Linked DNA regions of Canis lupus familiaris. The protein of the gene in region 3 purifies or fractionates together with the protein of the main gene of each other region. This does not show direct contact. Links are inferred from orthologs where the notes say so. Each region holds a gene or a part of one and is shown on either strand. Other genes may lie near its edges. The genes, in order: CUL4B, CUL4A and DCAF8.

Region 1 (10,941 bases), on a different chromosome or scaffold from region 3:
TACATAGATTTATGTAATTGAAACAGAATCTTCAAGAAACTATACTTATTACTATATGTGATATTCTCCAATTATTTTCTATTTTATGTCTTAAAAAATGTTGGTCACAAACTACTAATTTCATGAACCTAACTAGAATCTAAGCACCTTAGGGGCAAGGCCTAAGTGATCTCTATATGCCCATGGCATCTGTCCAGCTTTGCACATAGGAAGCAGTAACTGATTCAACAAGGACTGTTTACTAAATAAGTACTCTGTATAGGTGCTGGGATAGAAACATAAATAGGGAAGTGTTAAATCACTACTTAAAGTTTGGAATAAGCTCTATTTTTTTAAAGAATTTATTTATTTATTCATGAAAGACACAGAGAAAGAGGCAGAGACATAGGCAGAGGGAGAAGCAGGCTCTCCGTGGGGAGCTCGATGTGGGACTATATCCCAAGACCCCGGGATCACACCCTGAGCCTAAGGCAAATGCTCAACCACTGAGCCACCCAGGTGCCCCCAGGATAAGCTCTATTTTATTCCATCTCTTTGAAATGCACTACCAGAAATGCATTAAGTATTAATTATTTTATTTTTTTATTAATTATTTTATATTTCACTTCACATGCAACTATTTGTATCATACTCTACATAGTTTTATAAGTCTCTTAAATAAAACTCTTTTTACTCAAGCTCCCAATCATTACTGGTAAATATGCTGCCTTAAATCATTTTTGAAGGCAGTCAGATATAAAATAGAAACATTCTAGCAAGATTCTAACCTTTATTCCTCTAAATCCCAGCCCCTACCCTCCAAAATCCACACATGTCACATCAAAAAATATGTTTGTCCGAAAAAAGAGAAAAAAAGCATGTTTGTCCGATACAAACAAAACCACTCACTCCAAAGAAATGTAAACGTGTAGCAAATGAAATATAAAACTATAGTTCCTGAAATCTGATGCTTTGGGGAATAATGGATTTAAGAAACAGCAAAGGCACAAAAGATTTCATCTGGAACAAGGGAACGGAAATAAGGGTGAGCAATAAGCCTAGAATAAAAAATGAAGAGGATTAAAATAAGAATAAAAAAATATAATGACTGCAAACATAATTAAACACAGTATAGGAGGAAATCTAGAAACTTTCTGATTTAACAACAGACACCCAGAAAGGTATTAAACTCCCATTAGGGTGCTGAACTCTGGTCATTGGCCTAATGGGTTGGGTCTTATTTTTCAAACCCTATGTTTAAAGAAAAAGGAAAGCACAGTTTTCAAAAACTGATACAGCAATAAAATCTAAATTACCTTTTTACACTTAGTAAAAGTGGCTGAAATAAGATACTTGAAATATACCAAAAACTAAGAACTTGCAGAAAGGAAGCCAGACATGAAACCTAATTTTTCTTTTTACATCTAGGAAAAAAGGTTTAAATAAGACTAAAATTACCAAGGATTAAGAATTTGTAGTTGCATACTTTTTAAATTGCAGAGATAATATTGTGTACTAACTCAATAAAGAAAGAAGCAATATATGTGACAGATTAAACTTAAAAACATCAAGAGTGACAACAATTAAATAACTTTACATAGAATACAATTAATTACTCATCAATATAGAATACAAAAGCTGGTCATCTCTGCTAAGAATCTAACTGCTCTTCTATAACTTCTGACTGCTTAAACCACCAGATTTTACAATGGGTAATAACCTATACTGAGAAGGACACACTATTTGCTTTCAGTCTTACAGTCATCTACTTGATAAATGAAGCGTTACTAGGAAAGTTCATTATTTAAGATTTACTTCACAAAAAGCTAACCAGAGTTCCCATTATTAATAATAAATAAAATTATTTCCAGCAGAATTGAAGTATGGATTAGGCTTGTCTTCAAAGAAAACAGCTAGACATGTTTATTAAGAATAAATGTTGGGAAAAAAAAAAGAATAAACGTTGGGACGCCTGAGTGGCTCAGTGGTTGAGTGTCTGCCTTCGGCTCAGGGTGTGATCCTGGGATCCGGGATCGAGTCCTGCATCAGGCTCCTTGCGGGGAGCCTGCTTCTCCCTCTGCCTGTATCTCTGCCTCGGTGTCTCTCATGAATAAATAAATAAAATCTTTTTTTAAAAAAAGAATAAATGTTATACTTTCATATATAAACAACCAGGCAGTTCCAAAAAAAATGTAGCTGATTTTAAAACACTCCACAGGGATCCCTGGGTGGCGCAGCGGTTTGGCGCCTGCCTTTGGCCCAGGGCACGATCCTGGAGACCCGGGATCGAATCCCATGTCGGGCTCCCGGTGCATGGAGCCTGCTTCTCCCTCGGCCTATGTCTCTGCCCCTCTCTCTCTCTCTCTCTGTGTGACTATCATAAATAAATAAAAAATAAAAAAAATAAAACACTCCACAGGGACGCCTGGGTGGCTCAGCGGTTGAGTGCCTGCCTTTGGCCCAGGGCGTGAGTCACGGATTGAGTCCCACATTGGGCTCCCTGCATGGAGCCTGCTTCTCCCTCTGCTGTGTCTCTGCCTCTCTCTCTGTGTGTGTCTCTCATGAATAAATAAAATCTTTAAAAATAAATAAAAATAAATAAAAATAAAAACACTCCACAGCTACTTATACAAAGGCTGAGAACATGAGGAAAATAATCCCTTTACTTAAAATACCAAAAATTCCAACTACTATAAGATACCACATGTAAAAAACAAGACATATTCTTGAGATGTAAAGGACACTGTTCCTAGAGAGTGCCTCTCTTTTTCTATTATTTTTTTCAATTTGGCTAATGGTGTCTACTGACACATATTTGGAATGTAATCTATTTATCAGCCGGCTGTTCTGGCCCAATGTGGATTTAGAATTTTAAAACGTGTGGCTTTAGAGCTGTATAATAAAGTATAATCTTAAAATAAAAGTATCTTTTTAAAAGACTCTTATTATCATCAACATCACTGGTGACACCAATAAATAGCAGACATTGTAATAAGTAATTTTTTGCAGTATTTTACAGCTAAACAGCCCTGCCATATAGGTAACATTAGTCTTCCCATTTTACAAATGGGGAAAACAAAGCTTAGATAAGTAACTTGCCCAAAGTTATTATGAGTGGCAGATCTCTAATCTAAGCAAGCTGATGAACTCAAAGATCAGTGCACTTAACCATACTATCTGTAGAAAATCAAAAACAAGCAAAAAAAAATCTCCCAAAACCAAAACAACATTAACCACTGCCTCACACTTGTAGGATTTCAAGGTTGTCCAGGAAGATAATTTTTAAGCTCAAGTACAATTCTCATTTAAATCACTTTTTTATTATTTATTTATTTATTTATTTATTTATCTTTATTTATGATAGTCACAGAGAGAGAGAGAGGCAGAGACATAGGCAGAGGGAGAAGCAGGCTCCATGCACCGGGAGCCCGACACGGGATTCGGTACCGGGTCTCCAGGATCACGCCCTGGGCCAAAGGCAGGCGCCAAACCACTGCGCCACCCAGGGATCCCTCATTTAAATCACTTTTAAAAGACATCTGTTTCTTGCAAATGCACTCAAAACTACATGTTCTCTTCTAGAAATTAAAATTTTAGGGAGGCAGTACATGCAATCCACACTAGGGACTTCCATGCTTTAGATTTAAAACTTAATGGTTTTACATGCACGGACAAAAGTTCTGCACAGACACATGTGAAATAAGCATTTACTTCAGAGATAGAGGCTACAATGGGGGAGTGAGGGATTTGGTGAACTTTTGCTTGGTATACTACATACTTCTATCGTCTCAATTTTATGAGAATACTTTTTTTTTTTTTTGCCATTTCTCCCCTTACACTCTCTTTAGGAGTACTTTTTAGGGGTGCCTGAGTGGCTCAGTTAAGTGTCTGTCTTCGGCTCAGGTCATGATCCCAGGTGATCTCAGGGTCCAGGGATGGAGCCCCAACATTGGGTTCCCTGCTGAGCAGGGAGCCTGCTTCTCCCTTCTCACTCTGCCTGCTGCTCTCCTTGCTTGTACACATGCTCTCTCTGTGCAAATAAAATCTTTTAAAAAAATAAAACATTAAAAAAAGGAAGAGTACTTTTAATTTACATTTCAGTCAAAATTAAACAAGTACCTGAAATCCAGATGGTACAAAACAATTTTACTCCCTTTATCTTTTTATCCTTTTTTGAACTTGAAATTCTCAAAATAAACTCTCTGAGAATAATCCAAAGGGAGCATTTATAAAATTAGGGTGAAAAACAACAAAAGAGCTAGAAACAAATACTTTTGAATTTACTTCAGCAAAAATAGTAAAGTACTGTAAAAAATATAGAGAGTAAACAGTTATAACACTGTTTTTAGGCTAAAGAAATACAACTGAACAATAGCAGGTGGTAACTCTGAATTAGATAAAATGAAAAACACAAAAATGCAAGCTATGAGCTCTTGAAACAAAGGAAATTTAACAGAATCAATTTATCAGGAAAATATTTTTGAACCCCAAAAGTCTATAAAAATATTCAAGGTAAAGTAAATAGGGTTCATTAACAATCACAGCCAATATGCTATAAATATAAAATGTATCCAAATAATCACCATATACATACATACACACACACATATGAAAAAATTTATTTGGTGACAGTTTTTTTCCCTAAAGTAAAACTATTTATTTGTCTCTTACATACACTACACTATAGAGGCACTTGAAGTGCTGTGGTGTATTATTGAAGCAACACAGTAGTGAATGTGCACTGGACTTGAAAATTGGCCATCTCAGTTTGAGTCTGGGCACGTTATTTAACATCCCTGAGACTCGATTTCCTCATCAATAGAGGAATAATAACTACTACTCTACTTGACAAAGGGTTTCTATAATACTGAAAAGATATAAAAGATAAACCTGATTTGTAGAGGGCCACCTGCACTATATGAAAAAAAGCTACTGGACTACACAATTTCTTAAGGTCTTTCCAATTCTAATTCCATAATTCTACTTTTATTACTGTACAACTCAGAAGCCTCATATGTAACATACCAACATAGTCAAATAAGGTGGGCTTATCCTTAATAGCTTTGTACTACTTAACACAGTGTTATAATGATTATATTGTGTAACATTATTACTATGTGTTGGGCATGTTCTGAGTGTTTTCCATGCACTGACTCCTTGAGATTTTCACAGCAATAGAACCTGGTGATCGTAATTGACTTATTACAAGTAAAAAAAACCACACTGTGACTTATGCAAGAGCTTTACTACATCATCTTATATTTCTAGAATATAGCATTTCAAAGTGTTTTTGAGGTAGATAGGACAAGTATTCTTTCCCCTATTTTACAAAGGAAGAAACTGAAGTTGAAGGAGGTCTAGTTTCTTGCTCAAGATCACAAGGGTAATAGCCACCAAAACAAGATCCCAAATCTGTCTTCAGATTCCTTACAGTTTTTTTTTTAATTTTTATTTCTTTATAATAGTCACAGAGAGAGAGAGAGAGAGGCAGAGACACAGGCAGAGGGAGAAGCAGGCTCCATGCACCAGGAGCCCGATGTGGGATTTGATCCCGGGTCTCCAGGATCGCACCCTGGGCCAAAGGCAGGCGCCAAACCGCTGCGCCACCCAGGGATCCCTGTCTTCAGATTCCTAATACAGGGTTTAACCATTACCGTAATATCTCTGCAACTAAAATGAATAGATAAAAATTACAAATTCTGATAAATCAAACCACTTAATTTCTTACAAGGTACTTATCAATATGAAAAGAACAAGCAGGGCACCTCGGTGGCACAGTTGGTTAAATATCCTGAGTTTTTGGCTCAGGTCATGATCTTGGGGTTCTGAAATCTCAGGACCCAGAGTCAGGCTCCATGCTCAGCGCAGAGACCGCTTGAGATTCTCTCTCCCTCTGCTCCCCCCCACTGCTCATTAGCGCACGCACTTGCTCTCTAAAAAATACACAAGCTATTGGATTCTGAAGTATTTTTCTACATGAAACTGCTTACACTATAATGCAAAGTAACTTCTTGAAGTGGTTGCGTCAAAAATACGGTACGGTAGGGCAGGGGCCCCCGGATGGCTCAGTTGGTTAAGTGACTGCCTTCGGTTCAGGTCAAGATCTCAGGGTCCTGGGATTGAGCTCCCATGTCATGCTCCCACTCAGCGGAGAGTCTACTTCTCTCTCTCCCTGCGCCCCCTCAGCTTGTGCATGTGCACTCTAATAAATAAATAAAATCTTTTAAAAAATACAGTAGAGCAAAATCATGGTAGTAAGAAGTCTAAATCAGTAATTGCCCTTAATGGTATATTTAAACTGAATACTTCAAGTATAAACCCATTTATAAAGCAAAAGAAACAAACCTGAACCTCAGATCAAGTCACTGTACTATAATCTGCTGATTTTTTGGCTAAAGACAATCTTGTAGCCCAGAAAATAAAACAAACATGAAGAACAAGAAGAAGAAATGGCAAGGACGCCTGGGTGGCTCAGCAATTGAGTGTCTGCCTTTGGCTCAGGGCATGATCCCCAACCCAGGAGTCCCACATTGGGCTCCCTGAGAGGAGCCTGTTTCTCCCTCTGCCTCTCTCTGTGTATCTCTCATGAATAAACTATTTTTTTAAAGGAAAAAGAAATGGCAAAAGGCTACTAATATGAATGAGGGAGGATAAAGCATATAGAGAATATCTACATTTCTTGAGGCCTTTCCTATAGGTGAGTAACACCACTTAGGGATAAGTACCATAACAGAATGACTTGTCATCAGAAATCACACCTTTGGGATCCAGGCTGTATGATTCCATTATAGGTAAACCCTTGATAATACCAAGGTATTCCTCACTATAAATCCCAGTCAGAAGGGTCCAAGGTAAACCCAATATATACCAGTATGACTATACTCATAGTTTATGTCAGAATGTTAGAGTATGTCAGAATATGTGGTCTGATTATAAAGCAGAGTACATAAATCAAGACATTTTCATTAGAAGGAAACCAAAAGTCTACATAAGGAGTCATTTCAAAGTAAAATCCATATTTTACATACTACTTCAATTTATGCTTGCCAAATCTGGTTATCCACATTAATACATACCTGGTAGAGTTCTTCTAAATTGTACTTAATTGAAGTACTATTCTGGATAGCTTCCACTGCTTCTTTCAGCTTCTGCCATGTTTCATCTGTGTAGTTCTCTGGTAATTTAGGCTTATCTAGGTGATATGTACAAGGTTGATATCAGAATATGTAGGATATAGTAATGGAAGGCTCCACTAAAGTACAGTAATAGTATTATTGCTTTTCAAGGGTAAATTGTGATTTTTATAATCACAACATCTAATTATTAAAGTAATTACTGCTTTTTAGCCTTAGCATAAAGAATAAAATTTGAAATGCCAGAATACTGTTTAAGTCATTTTGACTCACCTATTAAAATTAAAGGTGAGAGGTTTTTTTTTCAATTGACTGTATTGCTTTAAAAAATCAAAATTCAAAAATCACAGATAAAAACAGTCCCGATCTTATTCCATCACATGTAAATCCTAAGTCAGTCAACATGAATTTTGCACCTAAGATTTAAAATACTGAATATCCACTGTGCACACAGTACCTTACAAACATCTTAATCTCCCTAACAATGCTCTAAGGAAGGTATTATTTATCTCTATCTTACAACGGAGAAAACTACTGAGGCTAGAAGACTCATTTAGTAAGGCTTGCCCAAGGTCATTAAAGCTAATCAGTGGCAAAACTGAGATTCTAACCCAACTCTGTTTGACCCCCACATTTATGCACCATCTACAAATGAAGAGAAACATCTTAACTCAGATTTTAATTTAAACTACATCCATGAGCAGAGTAAAATTTAAAAAAATTAAAACATCCAAATGACTCCAGAACCTCTGTAGCATTTTCAGAATGGACAGGACTACCTTAAGCCAGGCTTTAAACTTCATTGACCAGCAATGAGTATTTTTTAAATTAAAATATCCTAATGCCTTAAGGATATGTTTTTAGTTTAAGAGGGAAAGAAAAAACCCAAACAAAATCTCAGAAACCAGTATGCAAATTAAATTAGGATCATAACTCCTCTCTTTAAAAATCCTTGACTGTTAAATTGATATACTTTGGAACAGTGAACATATTAGTCAATTACAATTCACATTTACTTCAGAAAGGTCTACTATTAAATCAGAAAGATTACAACACTCTTAAGAACCTGGGGATGGGAGAGGAGTGATAGGAAAAAAAGGTTAAAAATAAACACTATAACCCTCTGCTCTAGACAAAATAGAGCATATTTCTGATTTCCACACTAATGTTGAAAACACAAGCACTGAGAATCTAATTTTCTCAATACTGATATTTAGCCACAAGACACTTATCTGGTAAATACTACTTCAGTTCATTCATTTACTTTTGTATTTAATAAACATCTTAGCATCTATTACCTGCCAGTTAAGGATGTCGAAAAACTTAAGTCAGAAAAACAAATACAGTCAACAGAAAAAAAGTAATTCATTTCAATTATGTTTTTAAAAATTGTTGATTTTACATGCATCAATGCACTCATAATACTCTTAATCACATATCTCAAACATGAAATGAACAAATTTTCCTAAAAGCTGCAGGTCAGTACTTTAAAGCCCATTTTAGTGAAAAAAAAAATAGATGTAGTAATTGTTCCTATCTTTAGACTAGTGGTACACAGAGTTACTACTTTTGTGTATACAGTATTTTTCACTTCCAAACCCTATCTTTGGAAAGATATGCAGAGATCATAAATATTTTTCTCCAAAACTGCTTCCACAAGGAGTTTCAAGAATATAGTATCCAACATTATAAATCTAACTATAAATCATCTTTGAGCATGAAAAGATCACCAATGCTACCTGCATTTCTAGGGACTAGAGAATGTGGCCTACTGAAGCATAAAAATAAAAATCCCAGCAGTGCCAAAGCTCACTATGCACCTGAAACAAATAAACCTCCTTAGAATACAAATTTCTCACCTGTATAATCCAGATCAATCATACCGACTGGCAATGTTACACTGAGTAACAGATTAAACTGAGCCAGACATCAAATACTGCACAGAAACACGCCGGTGTATGCTTCAGCACAAGAATACTAACCACCCCCGGAAAATGAACCCTCCACCCAAAAAAGGACCTCCCTCCACCTCATTGATTATGCATAAAACATTAGGCCACCTCTATACTGTTTAATATATTAACATAAATAGAGCACGTGACCGCTCAAGTGTCAAATCCTTAGTCAGTGATTATGGATTTTGGCCTTGGTTACCTTTAAAGTTCTTGATCACTAACTTCTTAGCAGACCCAGGCTTGCTGTTAGCAAAGCTAGAAGTGGTGGTAGAAGATTTGGCTAGGCCGTTTGCGTGATGCACCGAAGCCACAGAAGAGATTAATATACTCTTATTTTTAAGTTGCTGCTGCTGAGATGTTGCAGCAGTTGGTGAAGATGAGGAGGAAGAGGAGGAGGATTCCTCAGCCATCTTCGCATCAAACCCTACAAACTCCAGGGTGTCTTCAAAACGCAGCTTCTTCTGTATCGGTACGTGGCTGGAAGTAGCCACTGAAACCCCCAGGCAGAAGGACGAGGTTGAAGGGGATGCCGAATCCCTGGGTTGTAAAGGAGGAGTGGATGAGGAGGAAGAGGTGGAATCAAAGTCTTCTCTCTCGTTACTACTGTTACTGCTGCTACTGCTGCTGCTGTTTAACTTTCTCTTCTTGGCAGAGGTGGGCGGAGTGGTGCTGGTATTACCATCAGTGGCAGATCTGACCTCCTGAGCAGCAGCAGCAGCTGAGGGATTGGGGGAAGAAAAACCTGTTGGAAACATGAAAATAGCGGGGTCAACAGGCAGAGGAGCATCAAAAACCTACGTTTATATGCCTGCGTGCGTGTAGGAGAGAAGGTGGCAATGCTAGAGGGGGGAAGGGAAGAAAGAGAGGAGAAACACAGAGGACGAGAAGGAAAGTGAAGGGGGGGCTACACCGGGGGAATGGGAGGGTTTGGGAAGGCGGATAGGCTGACACCAGGAGTGAGCAGAACGAGGGGGGAGAGCGAATGAGGAGGCAGACAGGTAAACGGCCGTGCCGTCCCCCTCCCCTGCTTTTCGGTCTCTCTCCCCCCTTTCTGCAGGAGCGACTCAGTGAGTCTGTGAGGCTGCAGCTCCTCCTCCTTTTCTCCCTCTCTCTGGGAGGGGAGATGCCGTGGTTGGGGGGAGGGGGAAGGGGGAGGGGGAGAGAACCAGGGCTTGTTATTGTCAATAGCACAAGAGGCTAAAGATGGCGCCACTTCCGGTCACGCGGCGGCGAGGGAGGGGCGGCGTCTGTCCCCGGGAGTGGGGGGTGGAGAGAAGCACTGCAGGCGCCCGGGGGGCGGGGGAGCTGGCTGGGAGGGAGGCGGCGGGAAAGCGGCGGCTAAGGCGCCCCAGACGGTCGTGCTCCTTCTCTCGCTCTCGCTGCCCCCCCTCCCGCTCCCTCTCCCTGGCAGCACTCTTCTTCCCTGGCCCGCCAGTAACTGCCACCCCCTCCTTAACGGTCCCGCGGGGAGCTTCGCGCTGCAGCGCCCTTACCGGAAGTGACTGGGCAGACACTTTTCATAGCGCCCAGGTCCCGAAGCCCCCAGGTCCGCAGGACTTGAGTGGGGGGGGATGGGGGAGGGAGAAAGGGGGGGAAGAGAAGTGGAAAGGGAGGAGGGGGCGGGCTTTTGAGACACCTCCCGAGTTGCTGATTGGAGCTTTCTGAACGCGAGGCGGGCGGGGTGGGGGGAAGGTGGCGGGAGAAGCAGCGGGAAGGAGCCTGAAGGGGAGGGAAGGTGGTGACGGTGAGGGGCGGGGTGAGCTAGCTGGGAAAAAGGAGGAGGAGGAAGAGAAGAAGGGAGGGAATAAAAAGTTAGGGAGCGGAGAATGGAAACTTTGAAAGAGATAAAGGAATAAGGAGGGGTTGCAAGGCAA
Region 2 (10,941 bases), on a different chromosome or scaffold from region 3:
TGTTCTCATTCATTTGGGGAATATAAATAATAGTGAAAGGGAATAGAAGGGAAGGGAGAAGAAATGTGTGGGAAATATCAGAAAGGGAGACAGAACATAAAGACTCCTAACTCTGGGACACGAACTAGGGGTGGTGGAAGGGGAGGAGGGCGGGGGGTGGGGGTGAATGGGTGACGGGCACTGAGGGGGGTGCTTGACGGGATGAGCACTGGGTGTTATTCTGTATGTTGGTAAATTGAACACCAATAAAAAATTATTTTATTAAAAAAAAAAGAATTTGGTTTCTTAGTCTTGCTTCTATGAGTTGCCTCTACACATCCTTTGATCTTTTTTCTTTTCTTTTCAAAATACAGAATGCTTCACCAATTTGTGGGTCATCCTTGTGCAGAGACCATGCTAATCTCTGTACCGTTTCAATTCTAGTCTATGTGCTGCTGAAACCAGCATACCTTTGCTCTTTTCTCAGGTAAATGCTTTTCTACTTCCATTGATTTCTTATTGACTTTTATTGATTGGAATATTAATCCTTCAACTATTTAATTTTATTGACCCAGAAAAGCCAGTGCTGAGTTTTACTGAATAACCTCTTCCTTTGTTTGCTACCAAAGTTCAACCACAATGTAAAAGATTCTAGTAACATATTTATAAAAAGTAAATGAAACAGACAAACTTACTTCCTTAAACTCTGCTTTTAAAACAGCATGCCCCAATGTAGTTTGCCATTGAAGTTTCCGACCACTGTGCTTTCCGAGATAAAATGTCTTAAATACTTCCTGAAGTTTAATCATCTGCCGAAGGAAAACAACAAATGTAATTATGCTAAACACTGTTCATCTAAAGAACCACATATTGCTCAATTTACAAAGATTTAACAATTTTTCACAGCTGAATGAAAAGATCAGTTCTATATTTTGACAGTTATTTTTCTGGATTATTATTTTTTTTTTTTTAAAGATTTTTATTTATTTATTCATGAGAGACATAGAGAGAGGCCAAGACACAGATAGAGGGAGAAGCAGGTTCCCTGTGAGGGTGTGGGGGGTGGGCGGTGGCGATGTGGGACTGAATCCTAGGACCAGAATCACGCCCTGAGCCAAAGGTAGAAGCTCAACCACTGAGCCACACAGGTGCCCCTTTCTAGATTACTCTATGACCATGAAGATGTGCACCACTCTAGCACAACAGGGTTTTCCTCTCACATGAGATGCTACCTGAAGTGATACCTAATGTACCAACAGGCTGTGGTCTGCAGTCTCCACACCTCCCACTGGGGCTCCCCTGGCCAGTGGCATATATAATGAACGTTATATATATATTCCAGAGGCCATCCCTAGGTAGAGACACCGTCTGCAGGCCCAGCCATAGCCTGACACGTCTCGGGCTCCCTGCCTGCTCTCATGCCAGGACTGGTGTTGCGCCACTGGACGGGTGCTGTCAAACACTGGAAGCCTGCTGCACACCCCATCTTCCACTCTTTGCTCGGCTCCCTGGATGTCCCCACCACTCTGCACCCAGGACAGCTGATGGTCTGTGCTGCTTCAAGCTTCAACTAGTGAGATGATCCTGCTCTCTGTGACACTCATTGCTTAGACCTCTATGTCTCTACCCCGTGTCCACTCCTGAGCCCTCCTCGGTTTGTCTCCTATCTACCCTGAACACCGTGGCACCCTCAGCTCACGGCCCTGTGCACTCTGCTCATTCCCTTGTCAGTGTCCTTGGCTACTTCCAGGTTCTTAGAATAAAGAGTAAAAGGCTTGCCAAGGTCCCTTCCTTCTGAACCGCTACCTGCACTGGCCTGGCCTGTGCCTCTTCTGCCTGACCAAGGGCACCATACTGTCCTCCCTTGGGCTTCCACTTGGGAACCTGCCTCCATAACCATGCCCACTTATCTTTAAGAGCTCCTTCCTCACGGTCTTCTCCAAGTGCTCTGCTCTGATAGCATTTATAGCAACTTGGGATGGTCCCTCTGGACAGAGACAAAAACATGATCCGAGCACACCCTGGAGTATCGCTCACCCTTAAAAAGGAAGAAAGTACGACATGGGCTGCAGCATCGATGGGCCTTGAATACAGGATGCCAAGTGGAAGTAGTGAGACACAAAAGGCAACAAAATGTGATTTTAATTCTGTTAATACCCAGAGCAGGCAAATCCAGAGACAGCAGGTTAGTGGATGCCCAGGTCTGGGTGGCTGGAATTGGAGGCAGTGCTCATAAGTGCAGGGTTCTGTTTGGATGATGACAAACTTCTGAGCCAGTCAAAGGTACAGCTCAAAGTGGTAAACTGTTGGTACACTCTGCCTACCATTTATTTATTTATACGTGTATTGTAGGTATATTTTTAAAAAGACACAGTATGGTAGGTCTCACGCATCTTTTGCTAGAAAACAAAAAGTTAGTAAAAGTCCACAAAGGGCCTATGAGGTGCCCCAGCACCCGGATGTAGGATAGTGTGAACACCGTGGCAAGTAAGCGAGAGTCTGAGAGTTCACACAAATGCAGAGAAAGCTGCGGGGCATCACAATGAAAGTGGACTCAGGCAGGAATTCCCAGCAGGAAAGTCTGATGGGGAAAAGGTTTATGTGGTCTTGAAATATCTTCCCACAGATTACTTCTAAATTACAAAAGGAAGACTACTAACCACATTCAAGAAACCAGCTAACACCTTAACCAAGTGATGATATAGACCACCCACCACCACCACCACTGACAGGGGCACATGGACAGCATTAGCATGCTGAGCAAATCCATGTGGGATTCTGGTTGGACAAGCACAGCCTGAATTCAATCACAAACATCCCATGGAGAGAATTCATGAAAACTGCACGTGGCTTTGAAACACATGAGTGTTAAGAAACAGAAAGAGGGCAGTGAAGCTGTTACAGCTGACTGCAGTGTGGGGTCTGGGCTGCATCTGGACAAAATCGGAGGACTACACGTGGGATGAAATTACTACAGCAGCATCAAGCGTCTGACTCAACAACATGCCCTGGTAAGTACCTCAGAAGTATTTAGGGATAGGAGGTAGGAGATAGCCTTTCCCAAACGGCAGGAATGTTCCACCCATCCACGCAAAGAGAATGAGCACCATAGGAGGGCTGGAAACACAGGCAACAGGTTCTGAGGATTCTTTGAACTATTCTCACAAAGTCCCTGTAGTCTGAACTATCTTGAAAAAAGAAGCGAAAAAACTCGGCAGGGCCACAAGAGGCACAGCCAGGGTGGATGTGTCCGGCTTGGTGAACGCTGTGAGGTGGTAGGTGAGTGCGGGTGTTCTGGTGGAGGCTCCGCTTGGAAGTGACACATGGAGGTTCTGAAGCTACAGAGCCAGCAGGCAGCTTAGTACAGAGCCTTTGCATCTGTAAACAGCAGTCGAATACCCCACAGGGTGGGGACTCAGGTACCAGCGCAATCTAGGGTGCTGAGCTCGGGACGTCCGCATGCACTCAGGCCCAGGGCTCTGGGAGCATTAGTGTCCAGAGGAGAGGCGGAAGAAAAACAGATGAAGATGTGCAACATAGTATGTCAACTGTGCTTCAACAGTAAATGAAAAACAAACAAAAAGAATACAAAAGCAATCAGTGGGGTCAGAAACAGAAGAAAATCCTGAAAGACATGGTCTTGGACATGGAACAAAAAGCCCCAACAGGGCTGTTTCCCACCCGGGCTCCCAGTTCCTGCAACTCCACACTGTTCTGGGCCCTTTGCAGGAGACCCTCAGCCCTGCATTCCTATTTCCCGGTCCCACACCAGAAGCAGCCCTCTTCCACGTCACCTATATTAGAATGAATGGTGAAGAGATTTTAAGTTCCCAAGCCTAGGATCCTCCCTCCTGTCTGTAAATCCTCAGCATGCCTAAAGCTGTGGCTGACCTACAAAGCCCTGAGCAGGGGCGCCCACGAGACCCGCAGTGCCCACACCAGGACGGAATGACAACTGCCAAGTAGTGCTATACCAGTGCCGTTATCTTCTTGATGGTCAGCCAGGGAACTCGGGGGGTGAGAAGGAGCCAGACGGGACACAGACATTCACTGAGCAACAATGCCTTCCAGAGACCACAAGGACACTGATCTTTGTGTGATTTGAAAAACCCTCTCATGGGATGCTTGGGTGGCTCAGCGGTTTAGCACCTGCCTTCAGCCCAGGGCGTGATCCTGGAGTCCCGGGATCGAGTCCCACATTGGGCTCCCTGTGTGGAACCTGCTTCTCCCTCTGCCTGTGTCTCTGCCTCTCTCTCTCTCTGTCTCTCATGAATAAATAAATGAAATCTTAAAAAAAGAAAGAAAAGAAAAACTCATTAAATATTTTGTGACAGATAATATGTCTGTGCACGTGTGTGTTTAAGAAGTCTACAATGCTTTGGCCGCACCAATATATGAAAAAAAAGGACAACGTTCTCTGAGACACTTACTTCCGGGGTTAAATGCACTTCCATTGGTGTGTAGGTTGGCCAGTATCCCATCGTAAGTATATTCACTGTTAGATCTATAGAGCCTGGGTCACTTTGATTCTGCATATACTAAAAACAAAAAAGATCAAGATTAAGTAACTATTGTAGAATATCATCAAAAATAGCGAGTTCATAGAAAGGTAAATGGTGTAATTTTCACACAGCACAGTATTATATTTACTTAAATCAAATTTTGTTATGTTATTTCAGGGATTTTCTTTTTCCTTTTGAATTTAAGTCATTCAAATATGTGAGACATGAGTAGTGTCATTTTTAAGCCTGAGGGCTTTACATGATTTACATTATCACCTCACATAACTTAAAATGGGAGAGAGTTTATATACAGCTGTTTTACTTTGGGGAAAAAAAAAAACCCAGCTTGCCTGCTTGAACTGGACCATTATGTCCTTGGAGAGTTCCATGTCCTTGAACATGCCTTCCAGCTTGCTGGTGAAAGCAGCGCCGCATTCTGGGACATAAGTGGAGAGCATCAACACCACCAGGGACAACGCCCAGCACAGAGGAAGGACAGACCCCGGGTCCCACATGCTTACCATGCTTTAGTTTTGACAACATAGATTTTTCAGCATCAACTGAGGCGCTTTTTCCAACAAGGAGTCTTTTTGCCAAATCTTTTTTATAAAATGCTTCAAAGACATCTTTCCCTATTTATAACCAAATGAGAACGACAGAAGACATCAGTTAATCTGCAAATATTCACTGTGGAAACGCTAAGTGTTTATTCTGCTGCAAGCAGATCTAACTTGGAAGACAGTGACATTTCCACAAAATAATACTTGCAATTGGTGGGCGGCCATCCCTCTATTTCCTGTGTTAACACGGAAGTGGAAATGTCTCAATTTTTCTCAAGAAAAGACAGGGCCCCAGTACAGATGGACTAGGTAACCTTTTCTCCATGCTCAATGTTAACAGAAATAGCGTAGAGCATGTCTCACCGTGAATGAACCTGAATATTATCATGACCTTGTCAAGAATCCTTTCCAGCTCTTCGTCTGTTGCTTCTTTATTACCCGCTCTCAATTTTGAATCAACATGCTTTGCTGTGAGATTAAAAGTGTAAGTTATTTGAAGGGTAAGTATTTGTTATATAATACATTTTCTAAAAAAAAAAAAAAAAAAGAATATCTTTAGTTTTTATAAGCAAAAAAGCAGAGACAGCAACACTCTGGAACCTTCCCAAAATGACATTATTATATGATAAAAGGCAGATAATCTGATTTTCTAAGTGAAGGATTTTCAAGTCACATTGAGAATACTTTAATTACGTGCTTGGGTTTCACAACACACCATTGCTCCAGAGATTGGAACGCCCCCTCTCTGAGATGCGGCACCCCTGAACACAGGGATGTTCAGGGGGGTTCTTACTGCTGAGACCACATAGATCAACCATGGCTTCCAGAAACTCAAACCCCAAGAGTTAAATATCCATCTTTGGAGAAACCGCAATCATAAAGTGGCACAAAGGCCAAACTACACTGCCTTGTGAATTTTTTTTTGTTGTTGTTTTTTAATTAAAAGATTTTATTTTTTAAAGTAATTTCTACATTCAAGGTGGGGCTCGAACCCACAACCCTGAGATGAAGAGTTGCAGGCTCCACTGCCTGAGCCAGCCAGGGGCCCTGCTTCTTGCTACTTTTATAGTTTTTCCTTCACAATATTTTTATTATGAAATACTCTTAACATACACCAAAGTAGGAAAATGTATAAGGAACCCCACGTTCCCATCACATATCCTCAACAGTAATCAATAAGCCCAATGTTGAATTTACTGTATTTACTACTTCTTTCTTTGCTCTTTGCCTAAAAACTTCAACTAGTGAGAGGCTGTGAATCCTGAAATATGTTTTGGTATTAGGATGACATAATTGTATACAGTGGTAATAAAACTGTTTTATCTTAAACCATGTTATCTTCTAGGACTTTATCCAATTTTATCCTACTTTAGTACTGATGAGAGGATGCAAAGGTAAATACACTCTAGAGATTATCAAGTCATCCTCATAACACAGAGATATTCGTATAGAACAAATCCTCTTCATCCAGTTTCTGAGCACAAATTACTCGCTGTCATCAAGACAGAAACAGGGTTCATTTTACCAAATACGGTTCTGGAGTTACTAGTATAGCAAATGCATATGAAAATAAAATTTTGTCTTCCTTGACCTCAAGCGTCATCTTTACAAAACTGCTACTATGTTCACCCTTCCTATAGAAGTACCACGTGCTTATATGTATACGTAACATATACACGTTTTAAAAAAATGTGTCCTCATGAGATATAACACAAATCTTTCCCCATCCTCCCCAAGAGGAGTTTAAACATTCTGGGGAAAAAAATTTATTTGAGTTGTCTTATTTTCCCATATTAAACTTAGGTATGGAAGTATGTTTTTCTACCTATCAGCTCTGCGGGTTTATTTGGCCTCTTGTTGATAAACGTTTCAAAGGATTCCTTCATCAAGTTGATGAACTTCTCGTTCCTCTGGAAGCACACTTCTATCACATGGTCCACCCGATCTTTAAAATCCAGCAGATCTTGTACCATATCTTTGTCTTTTTCAGGATTGATAACAATTGTTGTCCCAAAAGTCTACAAGAACACACACACACACACACCAATTCATCAACCGGCAATGGTATCACACATTTTCATCCTGCTATCAAACAACCATAATACTTTAATTTAAATTAATTACTGTTGGTGTTAAATACTAAATAATTTCAGAAGTTTCACAGACTCAGCCCACATTCAAAATATTATGTGAATATACACAATTAATGCTTCAGTGTTACAATTCTGCTTCTGAAAGAATTCATAAATTAGTGTTTATTATTAAAAAAAACCTTTATCCTATGAATTCCTCAAACACAAGTTCCCATGAACCTAACACAACCACTTGGACTTCTTGACTATAGTATTTTTACTCCCCCACTGCTAACCAAGAATAGCCCAGCTGTTAGCCTGTATTTTTAATTCAAAAATGCTATATTCAACATCACCAAAAGTCTGTATGTGACAGTAATAGCTGCTTCAGGATATACACTACCAGATGATATAAACTGTGCTAGGTTACAATTACTACTATTTAATGTGTTTCAAAAGGGAGAGATGCAGGTTGCAAATGCAGGCACTGTGCTCAGCCCCAGGCCAGCAGACAGGATTTATTGCTGCCCTAAGTGCAGTCTCAGCCACTCTGAGGATGGAGTCCTAAAGCAGTCCATCACTGGGCTTGCCAGCACGAGTGAGGTGCTCTACCACACAGATCCCTGCTGTCCTCTAAGGAAGGTGACCTTGCCATAGCCAACTGTTCTTCACTAGAATACCTTCCTTGTTCTGCCCCCGCCTGCCTAGAAGTCTTCTGTATCATCCTGCTCTCCAAGGCTTCTTTCTATCTGTATGCAGTATTCATGAGTCCCTAAATAAAGCCAGTAAGATCTTCAAAATTTCCTCAACCGAATTTTGTCTTTTATCAGAAATAATATACATATTTTTGGAAAACTGGTTTCCATAGCATATACACACATATTCATGTGTCATATATGTAAAGTGGAGGCAGATTATTGGTGAAGAGATACAAATGAAACTGGCACAGAGACCTTCTGGAGAGGGACACCGTGTGACCAGCAGGGCTGGGACTTTCTACTCTGTGCCCTTCTGCACCAACAGCATTTAAAAATGACACACACGCACGCTGCCAAGGTTCAGCTTTCCTGTGATAATCCCACACTGTGTGTTCCTGTCATGGTGTGACAGCTGATCCTTGGTGGACACTGAGGAATGGTGGTCACCTCACTCATTTTGATGACCCAGATTGAACTGTGCGAAGGTAAGAACCTCCTGTGCTTGGCACATGTCCCAAGGGCTCCTCATCAGCAACACCCTTGTTCTCCATTAGACTTTCCATAATACCCAGGTCTTCGGCTGATCTGACATAAGTTGGTTATGAATTTTGTCTCCAAAGTCTCCGAGGGTGTGGTACCCCTGTGCATGAGCTTTCCACGTGTAGATAATGAAGTTTTAGGACCGACTATACCATAAAGCCACATGCAAGCTTCCCATTATCCCTTCTATTTAACTGATTTTTTTTCTTGTGATAATTATAGACTCACATGCAGTATAAAGAGTTAAAAAGATCCCTTACACACTTTGCCCAGCTCCCCATGAAGCTAACATTTGGCAAAATGATAGAGCAGCATCACAGTTGAGGTACAGGCACAGGTACTCTGCACCCATCTTCTCCAGGCTGCCCTAGTTTTATCTGTCTCCCATGTGTGTGTACTGTTCTCTGGACTTGTTGCCGGGGCAGCCTTGTGCACCCATCATCGTGATCAGGCACTGAGCACCAGCACAAGAACCATCCTGCTGCCTTCCCATAACCACACGCTAATGTGCCACAGAAACATCACAGTATTGTGAAAGTGACAGTCCCAGGTGGCCAGGAAATGAAGCGGCACACACACCAAATGTGTTATCATTCTCATGAGCAAAGGCATGGGATGTTTAAAAAGCAGATTCACAGAAAGGGTGACTCTCTGAAAATTGTGGTTGTAACTGGAATGGAGCCTAGGCAGACAACGAATAGAAGACTTTCACTGCACCTGGTTGTAGGTGCTGCTCATAATCTTGGTGTCGTCTTAAAAAAAAAAAAAAAAAAAAAAAAAAGTTTGTACCAGTGATCTGGAAAGAAATAAGAAATGCAAGACCGCTATCCACCCAAGCACCTGCCAGGAGAGAAATATGGTGTCTCCAGATTGCCCAGGTCCTCTGCCAGATGCCACATACCATGGAGGTAGGACACCTGCCCTACCCGAGGTATAGTTGTTACCCCACTGAGACGGCCCCACACACCTTAATGTACTCGCTCCAGTGCTGCAGCAGGATCTGCTGCCCACCCTTCACACGGCTGAATAGCTGGTACATCTGAGTGAGGTCGGGCACTCTGTTCTCATCAAGCAGGTGGTCAAGCCCTGAGATCACACAGCAAAAGTAATAAGCACATCCCATCAGCAAGTCAGCATTAGAACTAAATCTTATTTTTAGGGGGATCCCTGGGTGGCTCAGTGGTTTAGCGCCTACTTTAGGCCCAGGACGTGATCCTGGAGTCCCGGGATCGAGTCCCACATCAGGCTCCCTGCATGGAGCCTGCTTCTCCCTCTGCCTGTGTCTCTGCCTCTATCTCTCTGTCTCTCTCATGAATAAATAAATAAAATGAAAAACAAAACAAAACAAAAAACTTATTTCTACGCAGGCACGTTAATCTCCGGAATCCGAGACAGACCCGGTCAGGCAGGGCTCATTTTCTGAGCAGGCGGGCGGGTATGTTCCTTAATTCCTCAGGTCATGGAAGCCCTGGTCTCACTAATTCAGGGGCTTGAGCAGCACTCCCTGACGGCTCACTGCCCCTTCTTACCCCTGATCTAGTTTATCACTCAGAAAGCAGATCTGTCAAAGGGGGAGTTACCAAGTCTCATCTTTCAGCTGATTATTTTTCTAATAATTTATAATAATATATAAATATATAATATAATTTATAATTCTGGGCCTTTCTATGACTAAGCTTAAGGTTTCCATATCTTGGGATCCCTGGGTGGCGCAGTGGTTTGGCGCCTGCCTTTGGCCCAGCGCGTGATCCTGGAGACCCGGGATCGAATCCCACATGGGGCTCCCGGTGCATGGAGCCTGCTTCTCCCTCTCTCTCTCTCTCTGTGACTATCATAAATAAAAATTAAAAAAAAATTAAAAAAAAAAAATCCCATTTAAAAAAAAAAAAAGGAAAAAAAAAGGTCTCCATATCTTGAAACAGATCTTGTAGCTCCAACATGACTCTTAAATGGTAACTTTAAATACACCAACTACAAATGTTCTATAAGGTGAGACTATGCTCACTCTGCTTTCCAGGGTACTAAGCACACAGTTGAGGGGCAGAAATCAATAAGAGGAGCAGACTGTGTGAACCTCCTTCACAGCCACACAGCAGCAGGCACACAGTGGCAGCTACAGTCACTCCTCCCCAGGCTGCTCTTCCAGAGCCCCACGAGGGACAGGGTGTGGGAGAGAAGCCTGCCCAGTTAGCAAGGCCACATGTTTGCTCTCCTAGCTGCTGGTTCTTCCAGAAGACACAGGATGGAAAAGTGTATCCTGGCCTAAATCCCCAGCCTCTTGGCAGTTCAACTGGCATCCAGCTGCATGGAGGCCCTGGGAAGATGCCTGGTGACAATCTAAGGGCCTGTCCAAGCAGCCTATGCCCATGAGCACAAACCCAGTGAAGGAGAATGAGCGCCCGGCAAGGACGCAGCCGCAAGCTGTGTGTGGTTGGGAGGGTCTCTGGCAGCTTCGGGTGAGACAGCATTCCATGGGATTTCTATCAGAGGTGGTTCATGATTTCTCTGAACTCACTTTCCCTGAGGGCTAACGTGTTCCTCTTTCTTTCTTTTCTTTTTCTTTCCTTCCTTCCCTTCTTTCTTTTTCTTT
Region 3 (10,941 bases):
CGAGGACTGGAGTCATAATCATACTTTGTCTTTGACCAGTGCCTTTTGTCTAGGCACTGAAAGGGCTTAACAAAATTCTGGTCTGAATAATATTATTCTTTGCTCTTTGGAATTTGCTCGAGGTGGGAGTGAGGCCCTGTAAAAATAATGAATGTGTTAACAGTGGTATGAAAGGAGAAAAGCTAGGTACCCAGATTGCCAGATAGGACTTTTCTAAACAGATCTGGTGAAAGTTGGTGGAATTGGGTAGAAGAACATTTGCCGTTTTTAAAGTGGACTGAGATAGTTTAATGGAAATGTGGCCTTTACAAGCTTCTTCCCCAGCTGACTTAGTTGTAAAAGGAAAAAAAGAAATCTTTTAGGTTCTTTCTTGGGGAGAGGGTGCTCCTGAATTCTAATTTGGCTCTGTTGCTTATAATTCTTCATTAATATCTGTGCCTGTGAGCTTGAAGCTTGGCATCTGAGTGAACCTAAAGCCCAGGCTCTCACCCCAACAGCTTGGTCTCTTCTGTCTCTGTTGATTTGTGTGTAATGTGATATTCAGAGTCTGGCCCCCTTGTTCATGTTACGAAGACAAGTCTTTCATAGAATTTATGGGTGATCCATCTGACTAAATTTGCAACAGAAGATTCTTGCCTAGAGGGCAAGGCTGAAGGTAGCTTTCTAGGTTATGGTCCTCTGTGTGCAGTACCTGTCACTGGGTATGTGCTGGCACAGGTGGTATCTCAGTTCCTTCTTTCTCATCTCAGAAATCACTGCCAGCTACTCAGTAAAGAGATGGCAGTTGAGGGACCCCCTGGTGGCTCAGCAGTTTAGCGCCTGCCTTTGGCCCAGGACGCAATCCTGGAGTCCCAGGATCGAGTCCCGAATTGGGCTCCCTGCATGGAGCCTGCTTCTCCCTCTGCCTGTGTCTCTGCCCTCCACCCCCCCTCCCCCCGTGTCTCTCATGAATGGATGAATAAAATCTTTAAAAAAAAAAAAGAGAGATGGCAGTTGACCTCTCAAAGATATGTTCTGTTATGAAATTTAGACATGGGGGATGGGGCCCTGGTATGATTGTCAGGAGCTAATGAGCCCTGTTGAGCACACACTCAAAAAAATCTTCTTTTTCTTTTTAATTTTTTAAAGCAATCTCTACACTCAATGTGGGGCTCGAACTTATAGCCCTGAGAGCAAGAATCACGTGCTCCACTAACTGAGCCAGCCAGGCGCCCCTCAGAAAAATCATTCTTATGAAAATGACAAAGGCTGTGTGCATGGTTAAATGTCCTGGCTCTTTTATCTTCTCTTCTAGATTATTTCGTAATTATTTCATTTTCTTCCTCTCCTAAATGCAGGCTGGCCACAATAAACATCATTCAAGATGTCCAGCAAAGGGAGCAGCGCAGATGGCAAAACAGACTTAGCCAATGGTAAGGAGCTACCTGAGGTTCTCTTCCTTCCCCAAAGAAAGTGGAGACCTGGATTTTAGCGGAGGAAATCTTTCCTAAGAGTGGACCCTTCCTGTGTTTTATGTGTAGGACACTATGCAGGAGACACCTTGGACTATCCGGTACTTTTGTTCGTTCAACTTCTCATTGTTTCCAGAAGATCAGTAATAGAGCTGTGCCATTAGGAGGAGTTCAGGTAGTTTGGAATTCTGAAAAGTGGTAAGAGTGGATGAAACCTAGGAAAGAAAGATCAGTTGGTGGTGGAAATAAGGGAGTTGTGGGAAGGTGAGGTTCCCCAGTTGTGATAAGAGGTCTCTTTCTACAGCAGGTCCTAGTTTGGTAGAGACAGCAGACAAGAGATGAAGTTACAGCCCACACTGACTGGAGTGAGGGCTGGCCTGCATTCTTTGTGGGGTCTGGCTGGGTGTGAACTCACTGGGTCCAGGGCCCGTTTGAAGGTTTTGGTAATGGTTTATTTGATCAGTGCTTCAACCCTGGGCCAGCTTCTAAACTAGAGACATGTCCTTCAAATGGATATAATTGGACAGCATAGAGTTCAGCATTCCTCAGCACATTGCAGGTCAGGATTATAGGCTCAATTCTAGTTGATGTGATTGTAGAGCAACGACATTGAGTAAGGGAAAGTGAGATTTTTCAACAACCTGGTTTATTGCCCCTGTGTTCTCTTAGCAGTGCTGTTCGTTCATCTCTGTAAAAGAAAGTGATTGAGATTCTTCACTGGGTTCATTTGAGAAACTCAGGTTTGAGGTATATAATTGATTTGGAATTTGGCCATTAGCCAGATCAGGCATTAGCAGACTGTGGCCTGCAGGCCAGATCCAGCCACCCACTGTTTTTGTAAAGTTTATTGGAGCACAGTCATGCCTTATTCACATGGTGCTTATGGATGCTTTTGTGCTCTAACAGTGGAGCTGAGTACTTGTGACAGATCCATATGGCCTGTGAAGGCCCTCTACAGAAAAAAATTGCCAACCTCTGGATCTTGGTCATTGACTGTTAGGGTCCTGTTGCTGAGCTTGTAATTTGCTGGCCCTTACATTAATGCGGTAGGGCCTCCAAGTCGTCTTGATTGGCTAATCATAACTTTAACAAGAAATGCTGGGAGCTTTGGTGTTTCAGTTTTCCTCATCTGCAGAAGTGAAATGTGTGGTGTTTTATCCTTTCTCACCACTCCCAGTTTCAAAGCCAATTGTATTTGAGAAACCACAACTACTAATCTTTCTCAGTATTCACAGCAGTCTCAGCAAGTGTGGTTCCTAGGGGCGAATTGCTGCACTTTCCCCCTTTTTCTTCCAGTTCCTACACCCGTTTGTTTTCATGCTGGGATCTTAGTTGTGGTGCTTTCTGAAAAGAGCTGTTTATGAGTCTCCCAACCTTCAGTCACCACTTCAACCAATGCGTTTGTATTGTTCATCAGTTTTCTGTGTCGGGTTTTGCCTGAGAGTTTGTCGTGCGGAGGTTCCATTGCTGCAAAGATCTTTGGAAATTACTGCTCTACTCCAGGTGACTAAGTTGTCAGGCGCTACTTGGAATCCTTTCAGCATCCTTGTGGGGTTGGATAGCTCCTACCAGAGTTTCACATAGCTGGTCTGCTGTTGCTAACAGCCTTTACTTCTGGCAAGGTAAAGTCTGTCATCAGGAAAGGAGACTGTGAACGGTACTTAAAGTCCTCATTCCTGCCTTCCTTCCTTCATACCTTGGCTTCAGTGTGGAAGTTATGGTCATATTGGCCAGAGTGCTCTTTTTTTTTTTTTTTTTTAGATTTTTTTTTCTTTCTTTTTTTTAGATTTTTAAAAATTTATTCATGAGAGACATAGAGAGGCAGAGGGAGAAGCAGGCTCCATGCAGGGAGCCCAATGTGGGACTCTATCCTGAGTCTCCAGGAACACACCCTGGGCTGAAGGCAGGTGCTAAACTGCTGAGCCACCAGGGCTGCCTCAGAGTGCTCATTGAAATATGATTTGCCTGTTGCTAGGTAGGCGAATGCAGTGTCTAATTGTCAGGGATGAGAGTGCTCAAAGTGACTCCGTTCTGTTACAACCACCAACATGGCAGACTTAGAATATGGTGAACTTTCTTTCTCAGATACCACTCACGAAGCCCTGCTTTTCGTCAATTTTGCATATGCTTCCTTTTTTTTTTTTTTTTTTAAGATTTTATTTATTCATGAGAGACAGAGAGAGAGGCAGACACAGGCAGAGCAAGAAGCAGGCTCCATGCAGGGAGCCTGACGTGAGATTCGATCCCCGGTCTCCAGGATCACACCCTGGGCTGAAGGCGGCGCTAAACCACTGAGCCACCCGGGCTGCCCTTGCATATGCATCCTAATAAAACTCTACCTGGATAAAAAAAAGTTCCAAAAAAAAAAAGACTGTAACTAAAAGTCCTATTAACATTATTAAATTAATAGAAATCAGAATACATCTATTCGTAAAAAGTTAACCCATTCTAATGGTCAGAATCCCCACGTGTCCCTTCTACTTCTTCCTGGATTGCTATTGGATTTTAGGACCTCAAGAAATTAGGATTTAGAAAGTAGGAGGTAGTGGTGCTTTCTTTAAGTAGGAAATCTTTCAACTCCACACCCATTGTCAGAGTGATTTTAATCCGCTATCTTGTATCCTCTAAGAAGATGACTATACCAGCTCTTCCTGGGGATGGCTATTCTTTTTGTCTTTTTTTTAATTTTATTTTATGATAGTCACAGAGAGAGAGAGAGAGAGAGAGAGGCAGAGACACAGGAGGAGGGAGAAGCAGGCTCCATGCACCGGGAGCCCGACGTGGGATTCGATCCCGGGTCTCCAGGATCGCGCTCTGGGCCAAAGGCAGGCGCCAAACCGCTGCGCCACCCAGGGATCCCTTCTTTTTGTCTTATATTCAGTTTAATTCTTTGCTGTGGCTGCTGGATGTGTGTCCAGCAGAACTGAGCTTCAGGTGGTTGTATAGGATGTACTTCCACACAGCTGCCCATGCTTTGCAAGATAGACTCTTAGGCTGTCCTACAGTTCTTCACTTATAGTGAAATACCTTTGTTTGCATGTGGCTTTGGTCTTAATCTTTTCAGTTTTTTGTCCTTTCTCAGATTCCTGCCCAGAAGTTAGTTTTTATAAGCATTTGAAAAAAACACCTTAACCAGAGTTGGTTTCTGGGTCTTTTGATGTGATGATTTCTGGGACTAAGGAGGGGCTATGCTTCTGATCACTATCCCATTTCCTTATTTTCCCCCCCTCACCCACTCATTCCTCACTAACCTGCAGGAAGCCTGTCTAGCAGTCCAGAGGAGATGTCTGGCGCTGAGGAGGGGAGGGAGACATCCTCAGGCATTGAAGTGGAAGCCTCGGACCTGAGCTTGAGCTTGACTGGGGATGATGGTGGCCCCAATCGCATCAGCACAGGAAGTCGGGGTACAGATACAGAGAGCTCAGGTGAAGACAAGGACTCTGACAGCATGGAGGACACTGGCCATTACTCCATCAATGATGAAAACCAAGTCCATGACCGCTCAGAGGAAGAAGAAGAAGAAGAGGAGGAGGAGGAAGAGCATCCTCGGCGCCGTGTCCAGCGGAAGCGGGCCAACCGTGACCAGGACTCGTCAGATGATGAGCGGGCCCTGGAGGACTGGGTGTCTTCAGAGACATCCGCCCTGCCCCGACCTCGCTGGCAAGCCCTTCCTGCCCTGCGGGAGCGGGAGCTGGGTTCCAGTGCCCGTTTTGTATACGAGGCTTGTGGAGCAAGAGTCTTTGTGCAGCGTTTCCGCCTACAGCATGGGCTTGAGGGCCATACTGGTTGTGTCAACACCCTGCACTTTAACCAGCGCGGCACCTGGCTGGCCAGTGGCAGCGATGACCTGAAAGTGGTGGTTTGGGACTGGGTGCGGCGGCAGCCAGTACTGGACTTTGAGAGCGGCCACAAAAGCAATGTCTTCCAGGTGAGGCAGGGGAGCAGAACAGCAGTAGAGAAAGTCAGGCAGGAGTTAGAAAAGCCTGAGGTGCCTAGAGTGGGAGCTGATAGTGAGATGTGGTAGGAATTAAGGCAGCAGGATTCAGTCCTCGCGTGCTCCCACGATGACTTAGAGGGGTTAAATGCACTAAGCGACCAATGACAACCTTTTATTTTTCCTAAGCATAGAGGTGTTTGGAAGTCATCAGGAAGGTACTAAGTGTGCCCTAGTAGAAGGCATGCAGAGTAAGAACAGAGGCTCTTGAACCAGACTGGGTTTAATTCCTGGTCCTGCACCTATTAGCTTCATGATCTTGGGCAAGTTATTTAATGTCTGTCTTTGGTTTACTTATCTGTAGTGTAGAGCTAGTAACACAGAAGACCATGAGGGTTAATAATGATAGAGGTTAAGCAGTGTAAAACCATGCCTGGTGCTTTCTGAACATCTGATGAGTATTAGCATTATTGTTCTGTTTCTTCATCAGCCCTCTCCATCATCTTGGTACTAGCACTGATTCCTAGGCATAATCTCTTCCCCAGTATCCTCTCTGTTTTCCTTTGTCATTGTAGCAAATTTGTTTGCTTTCTGAATTAAGATAGATTTTCCTCCTTTTTTCCTTACATTTTCCCCTAGTAGGCATAGTCCTAGTTCACCTGAGCGCTTTATCCTATACCAGGTCCTTGCAGTGTCAACTGAGATACTCTTCTATCAGAAGGTTTTCCTCCCTCTTCTTTAACTCTTAGAAGAAATTGGACTTGAGCCAACAGTAAGACTAGGAGAGCTAAGTTTCCAGCTGTTGTGCAACCAAGGGGATAGATTGGGGTTGTTATTACAGTCTTTCCCTCTCAAATTCACCTCCTCAATTTCTTTCGTATATCCCTTTTTTTCATGAACATCCCAGGCCAAGTTCCTTCCTAACAGTGGTGATTCCACCCTGGCCATGTGTGCCCGTGATGGGCAGGTGCGGGTAGCAGAGCTATCTGCTACACAGTGTTGCAAGAATACGAAGCGTGTGGCCCAACACAAGGGAGCGTCCCACAAGGTAAGTAAGCTTTGCTCCCACAGTTGTGCAGTCCAGCTGCTCAGGCATCTCAGCCAGGACCTTCCTAGATCTCTGCCTATGTGTGTCCTGTCATGATCACCTGCTTCACTTCTTCCAGTCCTAAAATTTGTAGATAAGAAAGGAGAAGTAACAACCACCCTAAACTTCTTGGAAGTATTTGAAAGCTCTCTAGATCTTGCGTGTACAGTATTCAATTAATTATGCCTAACCCCTAAGCTGACCAATGGTCGGTTTGGAAGTCCTTGAGGTCTCCTTTGCCTTCCTCTTAAATTTACTTTGCTTGTATCTAGAACACCTTAATAGCTCCAAGGTCCTGGTGGTTGGCTCCTCACATGTGAGAGCTCCAACTTTTCTCCTAGGTCTCAGGGCACAGACAGCACTATTTCTGGAAGCCCTATTTAGGACTGGGAATATAGGACAGACAGTCATAGGGGCATGGGTGAGGAGCTGAGGGCTGCCTTGTCTCAGAGTGGTCATGCTGTAGAGGCGGGTGGCCCTCTCTTAGAAACTCTAAGCTAATATATAGGTGGACCTGGAATATCCTTTTCTAGTCCAGATGGCTCAGAAAATAAGAAAGTTACCTATTTCTTTGATTTTTAAGCCTACTACCTTCAACCCATTAGTTAACTAATTTTACAACTAAGATGTAGAGAGTAAAAAACTTGGGCATCATTTCTCTCCCTGAGAGTGGAATTGATTTTATTTGAGAATAACCCTCTTTGGGATCCCTGGGTGGTGCAGCGGTTTAGTGCCTGCCTTTGGCCCAGGGCGCGATCCTGGAGACCCGGGATCGAATCCCACGTCGGGCTCCCGGTGCATGGAGCCTGCTTCTCCCTCTGCCTATGTCTCTGCCTCTCTCTTTGTGTGACTATCATAAATAAATAAAAAAATTAAAAAAAAAAAAAAGAATAACCCTTTTTAATGGTTGAAGTTTTTCTTTGGTATCACTATTCAGATCCCTTGGGGACTTAGTTGAAATAAGAAAACTCTTGTCCTTTTGACTTGTATAGAATAAAACAAGCTATAACTAATTCACATAGAACAAGAGTGAATGGGTTTCTTAGTTCCTTTCCTGGGGTTTTACAACAGAAAAGCTAGACATGTCTCTTAGTTGAGATACTAAAAATGCAATCCTTCCTAAAGATAACAGAATGAACTAGATGGCTTCTGACTCTGATCTGTAGAAACCTTTCTTTTTCTCCCTCAGTTGGCCCTGGAACCGGACTCTCCCTGTACGTTTCTGTCCGCAGGTGAAGATGCAGTTGTCTTCACCATTGACCTCAGACAAGACCGGCCAGCTTCGTAAGTATAGCGATAATGTTTTTACAGAACTGGACCTCTTGGCCTTGAAAATACCCCACGTGTCCTAGGTAATACCCACCTCTCTGGTCAATCCAAAGAGTCCCTCTGTGCCTGTGCTAAGAAACAGATTGAAGTTCAGGGCACTTCCTCCCTTTGTTGTTTGCCTGCTTCTCAGCAGTACCGTACTATTCAGTCCACCTTCATGTCTAAAACAAGATACGGTTCTCTTATATGTGGGCTTTAATAACTACTTGTTGATCTCCTCTCTGTCCGCTTGGGTGCCACTCAGCTCACCCATAGGAAGCATCTACAGAGCAGCTTAGGTCCTGTGTAGTTTTCAGTTCAATTATATATAGAAATATGAAAATAAGTGATAAATCGTACACTAAAATATTAGTAGCTGTAATAGAGTTCTGTTGTATCACAGCTCATTTCTACATAAATTTGAGGCTCATGGTTAAATGACATCCCTCATCAGCTGTGTGATGTCAGAGAAAGAACAGAGCTCTTGTTTGGCTCTGGACGGACCTAGGTCAGATTGCAACTCAGGCACTGCTATCTAACCATTCCGAACCTCTGTTTCTCCAGCTTTACTTTGGGCATAACCCATCTCTCCTTCTCTCCCTAGGCTCTGAGGGGGTCATTGATAAATGTGATTGATGGTCCAGCATAGTGTCTGGCACCATGTTTGGAACTGATTATATTATGGCTACTAATTAGTTTTTAAAATTTTAATTGTTCTTATAATAAATATATCTTATTTTTAAAATTCAAATAATAAAGTATATGGACAAAATGTAAATGCTCTTTCAGGCACACCTCCCCTCCCTGACTTTTCTAGCTATTGGTAGCTGCTGCTAAAAATTTTGGAATACCTTTCCAGTCCTATTTGTATATTTTTATGTATCTTAACATATATTCATATATACACTTTTCCCTATAAATGGGATAAATATATGTATGTATAAACATACATAATGTAAGTTTCTGCAGTTTGCTTTCTTCGTTGAATTGTGTTTTGGAAATCTTTATGCATCAGACCATAAAGGTCTTCTTAACCATTACATTACAGCATTGGTGTAATACAGTTTATTTTATTGCTGCCTTGTTGATGAATTATCTAGATAATTTATGGTCTTGTTAATCTTAAAATTATAAGAAATCTTGTATGTCAATACCAATATTAAGTAAGGGATGTCATTGATTTACATAGAATACAAGTAGAATATAAACTAATTTAGGGAATATAATCTCAAACTTGGTTGATATTAGATTTTTTTCTTTTTTTTTTTTTTTAAAGATTTTATTTATTTGAGAGAGCGCAAGCAGGGCGAGTGGCTGCCAGAGGGAGAAGGAGAAGCAGACTCCCCACTGAGCAGGGAGCCCAATGTGGGGCTCAATCCTGGGACTCTGAGATCATGACCTGAGCCGAAGGCAGATGCTTAACTGAGTCACCCAGGCACCCCTTCTTTATTTTATTATTATTATTATTATTTTTTATTTATTTATGATAGTCACACACACACACACACAGAGAGAGAGAGAGAGAGAGAGAGAGAGAGGCAGAGACATAGGCAGAGGGAGAAGCAGGCTCCATGCACCGGGAGCCCGACGTGGGACTCGATCCCGGGTCTCCAGGATTGCGCCCTGGGCCAAAGGCAGGCGCTAAACCGCTGTGCCACCCAGGGATCCCCCCCTTCTTTATTTTTTTAAGTAAGCTCTACACCCCACCATGGAGCTAGAACTCAGAATCCTGATATTAAGAGTTGCATGCTCTACCAACAGAGTCAGCCAGGCGCCCAGACTTTTATTTTTAGAGAGATAATTATAGAAAAGGTTGTTTAGAAAGTGGAACAATTAATTAATTGGTTAATTAATTTAGAAAGAGATGGGAGGGACAGAGGGAGGGAGCATCTTAAGCAGGCTCTGTGCTGAAGTTGGAGCCCAACATGGGGCTTGATCTTAACAACCCTGAGATCATGAACTAAGCCGAAAGCAAGAATCAGATGCTTAACCAGCTGAGTCACCCAGTCACCCTAGAAAGTGGAAGAATTTAAAAAATGTTTTAGGCTTGTGGAAAGGATGTTCAGGTTACTTATATAAACCTTCAAGAGAACGAAGTTTGGGAAATTATGGCTTTTACTGGAAAGCGAACAGGACTAATTGACAAGGAATCCATCTGCCTTCTGGTACTAGCCCACAGTTCTTTAGTTGTGAGGAGATCATTGGATTTCTCAGTCTACATGTTTGTTGTTTTCTTATTTTATTCTTTAAAGATTTTATTCATGAGAGATGCAGAAAGAGAGGCAGAGACATAGGCAGAAGGAGAAGCAGGCTTCTCGCAGGGAGCTGGCTGGGGGACTTGATACCCTGACCCAGGATCAGGCCCTGAGCCAAAGGCAGATGCTTCCCTGCTGAGCAACCCAGTCCTCCCTCATTATTTCATTCTAAAGTTGCAGAGGTAGGGGAAGGACAAAGATGTAACAAATGAGCTGAGTTTGTTTGATCCGCTTTGGTAGAGGTGTGAGGCAGACTGGGAGCTTATCCTGTGTGTCAGGTCATAGGAAAACCACCATTAGGCCACAAGGAGTGGGCGGGCGGGGGGAGACCACATAATGGGCAGAACAGATGACTTTGGCAGATTATTGAATTTGGAATGAAATGACGTAAGCAGTGGTTCTGCATGCAAGCACTGATAGATGGATAGAAATTCAAAGAGGAAACTTTCCTAGGAAGCCCAGATTCTAGATTTGGGGAATAAGAGACTGAATTTTCAGAAAGTTTTTGCTTTATGGGTTGAAGAAATACAGAAAGCCTGACCGAAGTGGGAAACTGAATGTGAAGGTCATGCTGGAAGATCCAAGCTCTCCTAATGTGTTGAGTTGGTGTGTGAACATCCACCTACATCAAGAGGCATTTGTATGTGGAATTTTTTTTTTTTTTTTTTTTTTTTTTTTTTTTTTAAGGGGAACTTTTGTGTATTTATGATAGCTAAGTTTCTGGAAGCTGGTCAGGTTGGCTGACATCTTAGGAAGAGTTGGATTTGGAGCTGTGGGTGGGATATTCCATTAACCAGTAGAGGCCAGTTTGAAATATTCTTCAAAGGAATTCTTTGGTCTGATCTGTAATTATTTTTCCTTTTCGTTGGAACATACCTGTTTACTAAAAAAATTGCAAATTTTAAA

What was found.
Region 1: the proteins of DCAF8 (region 3) and CUL4B purify together in Homo sapiens (affinity purification with western blotting; 7 studies listed by BioGRID and IntAct, counting the BioPlex papers as one, with this or other methods). This does not show direct contact. The link is inferred for Canis lupus familiaris from reciprocal best matches to the Homo sapiens genes DCAF8 and CUL4B.
Region 2: the proteins of DCAF8 (region 3) and CUL4A purify together in Homo sapiens (affinity purification with western blotting; 11 studies listed by BioGRID and IntAct, counting the BioPlex papers as one, with this or other methods). This does not show direct contact. The link is inferred for Canis lupus familiaris from reciprocal best matches to the Homo sapiens genes DCAF8 and CUL4A.

Annotation. Positions count from the first base shown.
Region 1 is NC_049260.1:93,249,597-93,260,537, forward strand, and holds part of CUL4B (cullin-4B), read right to left. Parts: intron 10,699-10,941; exon of another isoform or gene 10,589-10,698; coding exon of another isoform or gene 10,561-10,588; intron 9,810-10,560; coding exon 9,267-9,809; intron 9,098-9,266; exon of another isoform or gene 8,994-9,097; coding exon of another isoform or gene 8,972-8,993; intron 7,172-8,971; coding exon 7,056-7,171; intron 1-7,055.
Region 2 is NC_049243.1:60,805,753-60,816,693, reverse strand, and holds part of CUL4A (cullin-4A), read right to left. Parts: intron 9,438-10,941; coding exon 9,319-9,437; intron 7,060-9,318; coding exon 6,867-7,059; intron 5,510-6,866; coding exon 5,405-5,509; intron 5,114-5,404; coding exon 5,003-5,113; intron 4,918-5,002; coding exon 4,832-4,917; intron 4,518-4,831; coding exon 4,410-4,517; intron 789-4,409; coding exon 675-788; intron 448-674; exon of another isoform or gene 344-447; intron 1-343. UniProt on the Homo sapiens protein: Core component of multiple cullin-RING-based E3 ubiquitin-protein ligase complexes which mediate the ubiquitination of target proteins. As a scaffold protein may contribute to catalysis through positioning of the substrate and the ubiquitin-conjugating enzyme.
Region 3 is NC_049259.1:22,799,619-22,810,559, forward strand, and holds part of DCAF8 (DDB1- and CUL4-associated factor 8), read left to right. Parts: intron 1-1,337; 5' UTR 1,338-1,363; coding exon 1,364-1,412; intron 1,413-4,708; coding exon 4,709-5,379; intron 5,380-6,292; coding exon 6,293-6,433; intron 6,434-7,661; coding exon 7,662-7,756; intron 7,757-10,941. UniProt on the Homo sapiens protein: May function as a substrate receptor for CUL4-DDB1 E3 ubiquitin-protein ligase complex.